2 linked regions of the Schizosaccharomyces pombe genome follow. The protein of the gene in region 1 binds, or shares a complex with, the protein of each later gene. Each region holds a gene or a part of one and is shown in the gene's direction. Other genes may lie near its edges.

Region 1 (6,271 bases):
GCGGTTGTTATTACTCAAATTTATTATGGTGGGACCAACAGATTAATCAAATGGGAGGCTGTACAGAAATGCTTTCCTAACCGGGACATATATGCTCTTACTAGAAGATATTTATCCATTAGACAACATACAAAATTTAAAGGCTTGCAACAGTTTTTATCAGAAAATTGGCAGCAAATGTACAAAGATGCTGTCTCAAGAAAAGATTTAATGCCATATCCTGATTCTGTTGATGATTTTGATCCTACCCCATATGTTAAGGCGTCTTGTAGACCTTATATGATTAGTTCTTCAAATCTTGCTACTACTAGGTTACCGAGAGACCTCGTTGACGTTTATGAAACTTACAATATAGAGGTTGTTAAACAAGAAACTAATTTCCGGGAAATGATATTTGATCCTTCCCTGTCAGTTGCCTCGAAAATGAATGCGTATTGTGATATGCCTTTTACCATGCCGCTTTCCTTAAATGACAAACAAAATAATGAAGGGGATGAGAATTGTGAGAAAGGTCAGTTGTTTGATGCGAAGTCTACTATCAAGAGCATCGTTGCCATCCCAGACGCTACATATGATGCTCGGTTTTCGCAAGAACGTCTTATGCAGTATCCAGAAGATATTCTCATCGCTGCTCATCAAGAATTATTGGATAAGAGAATAATTACTAGAGTTAATTCAGAAAACAGTAGATTGCAGCCTGGTCGAAACTTCCAGTTTACGGAGAAATTTGCAAGTTCCCTCAAGTCTCCTTTACCTCCATTTTTATTGTCACAAGCCAAGCGATTTAATAAATTTTTATTGGAGGGTTTTCAAAATCATAAGAATCATTTATTTGAAGAAACATCTAACAGTGGAACTCTCGCATGTATCCTTGATTTATTATCTCAAGGAAAGTTGCAAATATCTATAGTCGGAAGCAAGTTTAATGAGTATGGTCTATCTGAAGGCTATCGTACTCGTTTGCTAGAACATGACAATATCAATGTAACTCTTGTTCTCAGCGGCAAAGAAAGTGAATCTAAAAAAAATTATGGTGTTACTGAAAAGTTGGCAACTCCACCTTCGCATGAGCCACGGCTATGGTTAAATGGTAAATGCGAGCTTATTGAGATGATATGGATGAATATCGAGCAGTCCATTGTATACCAACTGCTTCGAAAACCCGGAATCTTGAGATCCCAACTGACTAACTTACTATTTCCCGGATTAGAACCCCGTGAGTTTAACGAAGTACTTGATTACTTTATAGCAGCAGGTGCCGCTATTGAAAAGGATGGCTTATATCTAAACCATAATTATCTCTTTAAATTAACTTAGCCTTTTAAATGTCACCATGATGAGATGATGCAAGCTGAGTATTTTCTTTCAATAGGCTTGTCGATTTGGAACATTTATATTACAAGCAACGATTTAATGTTTATTTGTACAGTATTTAGGATTCATTTTTAAATTATCTAAAAGATACCACGCTGTGTCTGCTTCTAATCTATAATTAATTATATTAGCGTGTTTTGAATTAATCTGATTTCGCGTTTTCTTCCATCTAAACTTTATATCGTATAAAAATCAAAAAGGTTTCATCGACTGTTTTGCTGAAAAGGTGAAGAAAACTTGAATCGAGGTTATCTCTTTTCTTTCTGTTTTATGTACATAACTTTAGCTCCTATAGAAAAAAGAAAAAACCTGCATCATGTAGATTTGTTTAACTAATTTACGTATGCATATATATATATATATATATATATTAGTAGAGTAAGGTTGATTTTCTAACCATACTTTATTTACGGTAGCATCATTCGTACCTTTTCGTACGTTACGACCACGTTGAAAGTTTTCAAAGAAATTACTTTTTAAACACAAAAGAACATAAATAAAAGAGAAGTAAATATGTCAGACAGTCCAATTGAACTTATGCGGTCCACGCTTGCTGGTTTTCAAATTGCACCAGATGTGAAAACCATCTCAAACATTCAAGACATTCGCGCACAGATACAGAGCTTCAGAGAAAAAGAATTGGAAGGATCTCAAACCAAATTTAAAGGTTAGTTTTAATCTAGAAATAAACGACCATGCATTAACTGTGAATAGTGCTTTCAAGAAAATTAGAAATATCTACCCAGGCTATGGAGTCATTAAAACAAACAGCAGAGTCATCACAACACGCTGAGGAGATTTTAAGCAGGGAAAAGGAGAAATTTAGGATAGCCAAGTTGTTGAATATCACTGAGAACGAAATTATGAGTTTAGAATCTCAATTGCAGAAAATGAAGGAACAGCTACTACAACTTGAGGAACGCGAAAATACTTCTGAAGACATATGTCAGTCAGAGGAAAATGCGAATATGTTAAAGCTGAACTTTTATCATTCTTTAGGCTTCGATTTAGAAACTGCTGAGAACACTGGGAATAAAAGGGTTATAATACGTATGTCATTTGCTCATAATTTGAATTTACCTTTCAATTTTTTATCTTTAAAAAGCTTGATGATATGAAAAATTCAAGCTTTAAAATTGAACTTTAAAACTGTTTTTCGAATCTACTCACACTTTCCTAGATACCGAAAACGATTTGCAAACGGTACAAATCAGCAACAAGTATAGCCCATATTTTTATTCTAATTATTTTTGGGATTTGCTTGATGATAGTAAGGACAAAAAATAGATGGCACTATTATTTTATTTATTTATTTAATCTTGATTGTGTATACCGGTTTTTAAACATGACTCAACATAACGAATGGCCGCTATAAGAGAATCCAATTTGATATTATACAATTTGGCTACCATGATAGTAACCCGATGAGCTGTATTTTCTGTATTAGGTGAAAAAGGAAGCATTGATATATAAGCATCCTTTCGTCGTGAAAAGTCCATTTTATCAGACTCTTTAATGCCTACAGGTTTGAACACTTGTTCTAACTTTACATCTTCAGCAATGACGGATTCGTCGGTGAGTATATCTGTAGGTTGATTTTCTTGTAAATGGCTGTCTTTCGAAAGAATCGGAAATACGTTAAGAATTCCTTCTGGAATATTATTTGGGTTGTTTTCTTCGACAAACTCTTTTTCATACCATTGAAAATATTTATCCATTTCAGAGTTATTGAGCGTCAAAATGGATTGCTCGTCTATCTCGTAGAACTTGTCTTTTTCTTTCTCATTAATTTTTTGCACTTGGGATAACCACATGTTCCAGTTGGTTTTAACAGTGAACATCGAGTCTTTGTATTTGGAATTTCGAGTTTGGGCATCATCAAACCCATAACATACATTTGCTGCTACTAAGATGGTAGCGAGTAACATAACCTCCGCATCAGATAACTTTTCATGTATCGATTGAGCACTGCGTATTTTGCTTTGATAATTATCGCTAGAGGTACCTTGAAGTGAAATCTGCGAGTGAACGAGATTTAGTAAACGAGAAGCAGGTATGAAGATTTCTAAGGGAAAAAAGAAACTGTTAATAAGCTCAAAAAGTATCAATGGCTCATTAGGTGGAGGAACTTTTAGTTCGTATTTAGATACTAAAACGTCAACCAATGTCAAGACAGCGGATTGTATGCGTTGATACGTTGGATAATGAAAAGGAATTAGCATCCTTACATAGTTTTTTTGAAGCCTTTTAAATATTTTTAGAGGTATCTGTTTATACGCTCTATAATATGGAATAATATTTTTCCTTATTAAAACTTCGAGTTTATGAATGGTCAGAGGCAGTCTTAGTAAAAGACAGGCGACATAAATAAAGGCAGAAGAGTATAAAAGCCGAGGATAAGATATAGAATGCGACTGAGAAGTTTCCTTCGTTTTTCTTGAGCTCGGATCAGCTCCCGGTTGACTCTCAGGATCTATGAGATCAAAATCCGAATCTGATGATTCTGATTGCGTTGAATTTTGGTTGAGGGAAAGAAAACTAGAAGTAAATGATTCATAAGACAGGGAAAGGTAAAGCGCCCAAAGGTCACGTATCATGCCTTCTATTCTTTGGTCAAATCCGAGTTTCGTAGTTAACGCTTGACATTGAAGTTGAAGAATAATTTGAAAAGCCTGAAGATATAAGCTTCTACCAGCGGTACCATAAACAATCTCATCTTCATCTCCAGTGTCTAGATGGTTGCGAACAACCTTTCTTTTACGAGTTTGATAAAAAGTCCCTGCACCAGGTTCATCATCTTGAGCGATTTCAATTCCCTAAAATTTAACAATTTTATTAATGAACATTCATTAAAGCGCAAACCTATTAAAAACAACTTACATGTTGAGCATGACCACGACGACAAAATGTTTGACCTGCATTTTTAAAATACCAAGTACTTTTGCAGTTTCTTACAGAACAAGGCGGACCTTCAAACCAATTGCCTTCCATTGTAAAGGAACTGGATATGCAAATAGATGCAGACTTATTTAAAAGTACAAACAGTGAACTATAGACGAAGAAAAATAAGAGAACAAAACACTTAAAGGGTATTCAAGTAGGTAAGCATTTGTAAAAAGATCTGCACAGTTTCTAACGGTGTTGTTATTTATAAACTGCTATGCCAGCATTTTACCAATATTTTGGAAAGTATGAATCGACTGAAAAAACCTAACAGATTTTCTTTCAGCTGCGAAATACCGTTTATATAGTTTTGGATAAATCCTTCACAAATGTATCACAGTAGACTGTTAGTCAGTCAGTAGCGATAGGCAGTTTTTGAGATCTAACGGGCGCCACGTTAATACATATGAGTTGTAACGGCTTGGTAGATAGTGCATACATTGATTAACTATTGTGAAAAGCCATTATATAAAAACTGCAAGTCCACTCTAGATTATATATTACCTCGGGTATCCAACCTTGAGACATAAAGGTTGAAACTAGGATAAAAATTGAGGAAAGTTAAAATAGGCTGAAGAAAAGGTGCTACTGATACATTTAAAAGAGAAAATAACAGCCATCAAGCAGTTTGATACATACCCGTAGTACGAATATATAACCATAATCTAATTTATCTTAAAACTATCAGATATATAAGAAGTCTTACGTTTACAGATTCCAAAGAACATTCTATTTACAAAAATCGTTAAACAAACAATGAATATGGTAAAGGAGGAGCAAAACTTGTTTACTAAACGACCATTTTTAAAGGGAAGAGGGTTTATATTTAGGCGCTGGGAGCATCACGGCAAGCGAGAGCAATCTCTTCACCCATGGCAGAGACAACGGTAATGATTAAATCCTTACCCTCTTCAAAGCCCTCTTCAATTTCGTTGCCGAGTTCGCCTTCGGGAAGACGAACATCGTCCTTGGTAGTACCATCGGTAGTCATGAGGTTCAAGTAGCCATCATCAATGTTGACTAGTTGGTATTCGTCACGCTTGACAACAGGAACGTCCATGTTATGAGTAGAGGGAGACATATCTTCGTACTTGCGACCATTGAAGATATCAAGGGCAACAATGTGGACCTTGGCATGTCCGTGCTTACCAGTCTTAGAGGTGGACATGTCGACGATCTTGCAAGGACGGCCCTTGATGACGACGTGTCCGTTCTTACGCAAAGCAGAGCATTGCATAGGGAAGGTCAAAGAGGCACCGGCCTCACCACCCTCGAAATCGACGTGTTCTTCTTCTGCCATTGTTGGTTTATGCTCTTTCTGTATGAACATGCCCATCACTTTCCCATTTGTTAAATGTGACTACTTTTTCCATGTGAGATTGCTTTAACCCTACCCTAAAGCAACCAAACTAAGTGCAGTGAAGTAAAACGTAATACATGTTATTTGAAGTATACCTTTGCAACGTTAAAATTCGTAAAGTAACTCATCATAATTATTTGACGTATCGTTAGATTACATTAAATTGTTCAGGCTTAACACTGATGGAAGCGCCGAAACCAGGGTGATAAACAACACCTAAATTAAACTTAACCCTCCTTAACTTACCAAACTAACTATTTGCAGGATTATACCTTCCATTTGTTCTGGGATGCAGCTGTCACGTTGAGATATAACATCTATAGGTACAGTATAATAAGTCCGGCATGCAGAGAGCTTCTACCCAGGATGTTTATGATGGAAGTGGTGATGATCTAAACAAACTTGATTCTCTCAAGTCAGTGTTGAATGATGTTCTGAGCTCTTTGGAGCGATTCCAGGTGGATCTGGATGTCGCTACTAGTGATATCTACAAAGTCAGTGAGCGCTCAAACAAAATTCAAGTAAATTTAAACAATTTGAAGGCAGTGGAGTCAGCACTTGGAGCAGAGATTGATGGTGCGATTCTTCCACCTG
Region 2 (3,770 bases), 1.6 Mb from region 1:
TAAGGCCATGAACAGTCCCTTGCTTTTGATATTCCTTCCAAGCACTTCCAGTGATATAGCCACGAACAATAGCTTCGATAGGAAGAATCTTGTATTTCTTAACGAGCATGGATCTATCCTTTAACTCTTCATGCTTCGTGATAACAGGAGGTAATTCTTCCCACCTAGAAGTAATCAAATGAGTTTGGACATGAGGTTTTAAAACATCAAACCAAAATTCTGAAATTTTTGTCAAAACCTTTCCCTTCTCAGGGATGCCGTTCTCCATGATAAAATCATAGGCGCTTATTCTGTCTGTTGCTACGAACAAAAGATCATCGGGAAATTCTACACACTCATACAGGTCTCTGACTTTGCCGGTAGCAATTTTAGTGAATGGAGCATCCAACGAAGTTTTTAATAATGCCATTTGAAATGAACTTGATGTAGAAATGAAGGTTTAAACTATTCCACTTGAAGACAATTAGCTTTTGGTATAAAAATAACAAAGTATTTAAAGAAAATCCGTGTGATCTCTTTTCATTTCGTTTTAATATGCTTCTTCTGTATGAGGTCTATATAGTATAACATAGAACATCGATTAAAAATTTCAGAGAAACAAAAGCAATTACAATTATCAAAAAGGATACTATTACATAACATACCACTTAGAATTGGCTCCAAAAAACCCTGGTTTCAATGAATCCAGTTAACTCTAACTTTCGATGTAGTAGAAAGGAAAGATACAAGAGAGATGAGACAGATCGTCGTAGATCTTGGCAATACACTGAGACAGATTAAGAACAGATAATCAGTAAAGATTCTTTTCAATTATAAAGAATTTAAAAATTCCGAAATAAATTCGTATTTGAGGATGATGGCAACCTAAGTAAGTGCTCGAAAAGTAAGTTGTACAGGACATGCTGTGGTTATAAATTCCATGTTTAATTAAAATAAATAAAACAAATAAATTAATAATTATAATAAGAAAACTATTACTTCACTTAAGTTAAAAAGAGCTTTAAACACCGACTACTGTTGCCTTTTTGACTGCAGAATATTTTGAAACAACTTTATATAGGAAGTGTTTTAAGAGTAGGATAATTCAAACTTTTAATTCTTAAAACTATACTGGATCCTTAAAGTTCTGGCTTGTCTGCAAAGCCATGTAATCTAAAATTGGGTACTTTCTGTAAATAATATGCAGCGATTTAAAATCAACAATAACCAGCTAAGTCTGAAAATTACTACAATTTAGATTTTGTACATATAGAATACTCGAATATTTTTCATTATACTTATATTTGATTATTCATCTTATTTATCGTCGCTATATTTTTCAACAATTATGATAAAGTACAAGCTCAATCCTGGCAGCTCATGGACATCTTGACTATTTGTCAAAAACTGTAAACAGTTTTAATGGTAATAATATCCACATTTTGTAATTTGCATAACTTTTCAGCTTAGCATTTCATGTCGCATTCCTCAATTATATATATATATATATATATATATTACATAAACAGTAAACTTGATATAGTATAAGAAGAGGTCTTATGAATTTATAAGGGGAATTAACCAACCATTCAATGGATTATGTTAAAATTATTATTCTTATTATTTTACAGCAGAAAAAAGGATATATATTTTTGTTTTTGCAAGTTCGAAGATAATCTAGCAATTAAACAAATATTTTATACCAAGTTGTAACAAGTGTATCTCCAAAAAGAAAGGAATACTTAACAGTAAAAAAGAATTTAATCATTATTTATTTTTTTATTTATTCTCTACATGAATATACTTTGCTTTGATGAATTTTCAATGCTCAATTGTAAGGCCGACTTATAACGCGCTCGCTATACTTTGTTAGGTTACCTAGTGTAAACAATGAGTAAGGTAGTCTTTGCAATCCTGACTCGACTTGACCCTAACCAGCATCCATTATGAAACGAAAGCCTGAAGAGCAGGAAGGATTTGTATTCGTTAGGAAGGGTAAAGAAAAAGCTGGTTCTAAAAGAAGGAAATCATCTGTGGAGGATGATCCAGATACCTCCCAAACCGATGGGTTAGTTGAGCTACCCGTGTCTGATACACCAATTGTGAAGCGAAACAAAGAACTTCGCAAGGGTAAAGGAAGAAGGAGTAGTCTTGACCAACGGGGTAAGCGTGCTAGTAGCATTGGTACTGGATTTGAAGCTTTACCACATGCAGATGTTCCATCGCATGAATACTATCGCCATATATCCAAAGACTTATCCGAACCTTTACGTATCAAACAACTTCTCCTTTGGGCTTCTTCAAAGGCCTTAGAAGAGCAAAGAAAAAAATACGGTGAAACGGAGGAAGCCAGTGAGGCAGCTATTGCTAGATCAATAGTTCAAGAAGTTCTTAACGAATTATTGGCTAATAAAGTTAGTGTTAGTTGGTATCAAAGACCACCTGATGCTGTAATTCCTAATAAACCTCATCCTCAAAATCTCAAAAATGCTCAGCTAGTGGACGAACTGTCGGCAAAGCTTACCCAACTCCATAATGAAGAAGCTGCATGGCGGGCTGTTGCTGCTAATTCCGTCAGTTCAGATAAATCAATTTTATCTTTTAAAAAAGCTGTAGAATCCATAGATTCTAAACAAGACCTTGATAAACAGGACTCTCCATTACCCCCAGATGATGCACCAGAACTTCCTAATATAAGTAAGCTGAAACCAAAATTCCACACTCTCCTGGACATGCTTGCTGAAAATATTCATACCTTGCATTCTTTGACTAACGCTGGACCTGAAGTCCGATCATCATATGGTCGCCTTGCTGCCCAGGATTTCATAGCCCATCGTAAAAGTTTGTTGTCCTTCTCCAAATATGTGGATACTATGAATTTATTAAGGCTTTTATCAGAAGCTTCCTATAAATCTTCCTCAAACGAATCAGTTTAAAATTGGATTAATCTGATACTGTTATGCCCAAATTTTTACTTATTTTTACGTTAATTTTATGTCTTTTTGCGTGCCATTGCTGCTAATTAACTAATAATGAAGGTGTGCAAACCAGCTGGACTGTGTTTGAAAATTCATGTTATACGTTATTTCAAAGGAACTCCTATAGTAGTAGCGCGCACTCACATTACTATCTACACTCAATGTACGATACATAACTGCTACTATTCACCCAATATTTAGAATTTATCAAAGGTTTCATAGTTAATTAATTTGAAATATTTGAGAAATAAATAGCTTTATCTCTAAAGTCTATATTCTATAATTAAATTTTAAAAAGCGAGAGCAGACATCGTCGCAGGTTTCGAAACATGTAACGTGTAATTAACAATAGCTTTATGATAACCAGAATACACGTGGTAAATTCCGTCATAATAGTAACGTAAAACTTTCAAACACAAAACCGCATACATGAAATTAAAAAAAAACCACGATTTCTATGAAGCTTGGACATTATTTAAATATTAAGGCAGCTTCTCAAACGCAACGGTGCACCAATATTGGAGACAAATTCAAGAAATCCCAAACCCAAACTGAAACTGTGGGGACATGAGCTAAAGAATTTTAAAAAATTTTAGCAATGGATAGGTGGAAGCATGCTTAAGGAACATATCTAAGTTCACTTATGGAATGATCCCTGAGGCGAAAAAAGCAAAGCAGCAAATTCTGACCGCTTTACGAAGCCAAGATTGTTGGCATATCTTTTAAAAAAGTGGGATAGCCAACTGAAATAATAGAGGCTTTAAATTCCTTGCATGTACACAACGCAAACCAAATGCATAACGAAAAAAAAGA

Evidence for each region.
Region 2: spc24 (region 1) and mis13 share a complex: the UniProt entries of both Schizosaccharomyces pombe proteins name them as parts of the NMS super complex.

What each region holds. Positions count from the first base shown.
Region 1 is NC_003423.3:2,753,618-2,759,888, forward strand, and holds spc24 (protein Spc24), read left to right. Parts: upstream 1-1,808; 5' UTR 1,809-1,887; coding exon 1,888-2,041; exon of another isoform or gene 2,042-2,088; coding exon 2,089-2,424; exon of another isoform or gene 2,425-2,554; coding exon 2,555-2,661; 3' UTR 2,662-2,687; coding exon of another isoform or gene 2,688-4,190; 3' UTR 4,191-4,254; coding exon of another isoform or gene 4,255-4,365; 3' UTR 4,366-5,143; coding exon of another isoform or gene 5,144-5,617; 3' UTR 5,618-5,771; downstream 5,772-6,271. Other genes in the region: transcription factor TFIIIC subunit Sfc3, read left to right, coding at 1-1,317; RNA polymerase I general transcription initiation factor subunit Rrn7, read right to left, coding at 2,688-4,190, 4,255-4,365; tif512 (putative translation elongation factor eIF5A), read right to left, coding at 5,144-5,617; GARP complex subunit Vps52, read left to right, coding at 6,022-6,271. UniProt on the Schizosaccharomyces pombe protein: Acts as a component of the NMS (Ndc80-MIND-Spc7) super complex which has a role in kinetochore function during late meiotic prophase and throughout the mitotic cell cycle.
Region 2 is NC_003423.3:1,153,757-1,157,526, reverse strand, and holds mis13 (MIS12/MIND complex Mis13/Dsn1), read left to right. Parts: upstream 1-1,905; 5' UTR 1,906-1,925; coding exon 1,926-2,915; 3' UTR 2,916-3,223; downstream 3,224-3,770. Other genes in the region: ade7 (phosphoribosylaminoimidazolesuccinocarboxamide synthase), read right to left, coding at 1-409. UniProt on the Schizosaccharomyces pombe protein: Acts as a component of the NMS (Ndc80-MIND-Spc7) super complex which has a role in kinetochore function during late meiotic prophase and throughout the mitotic cell cycle.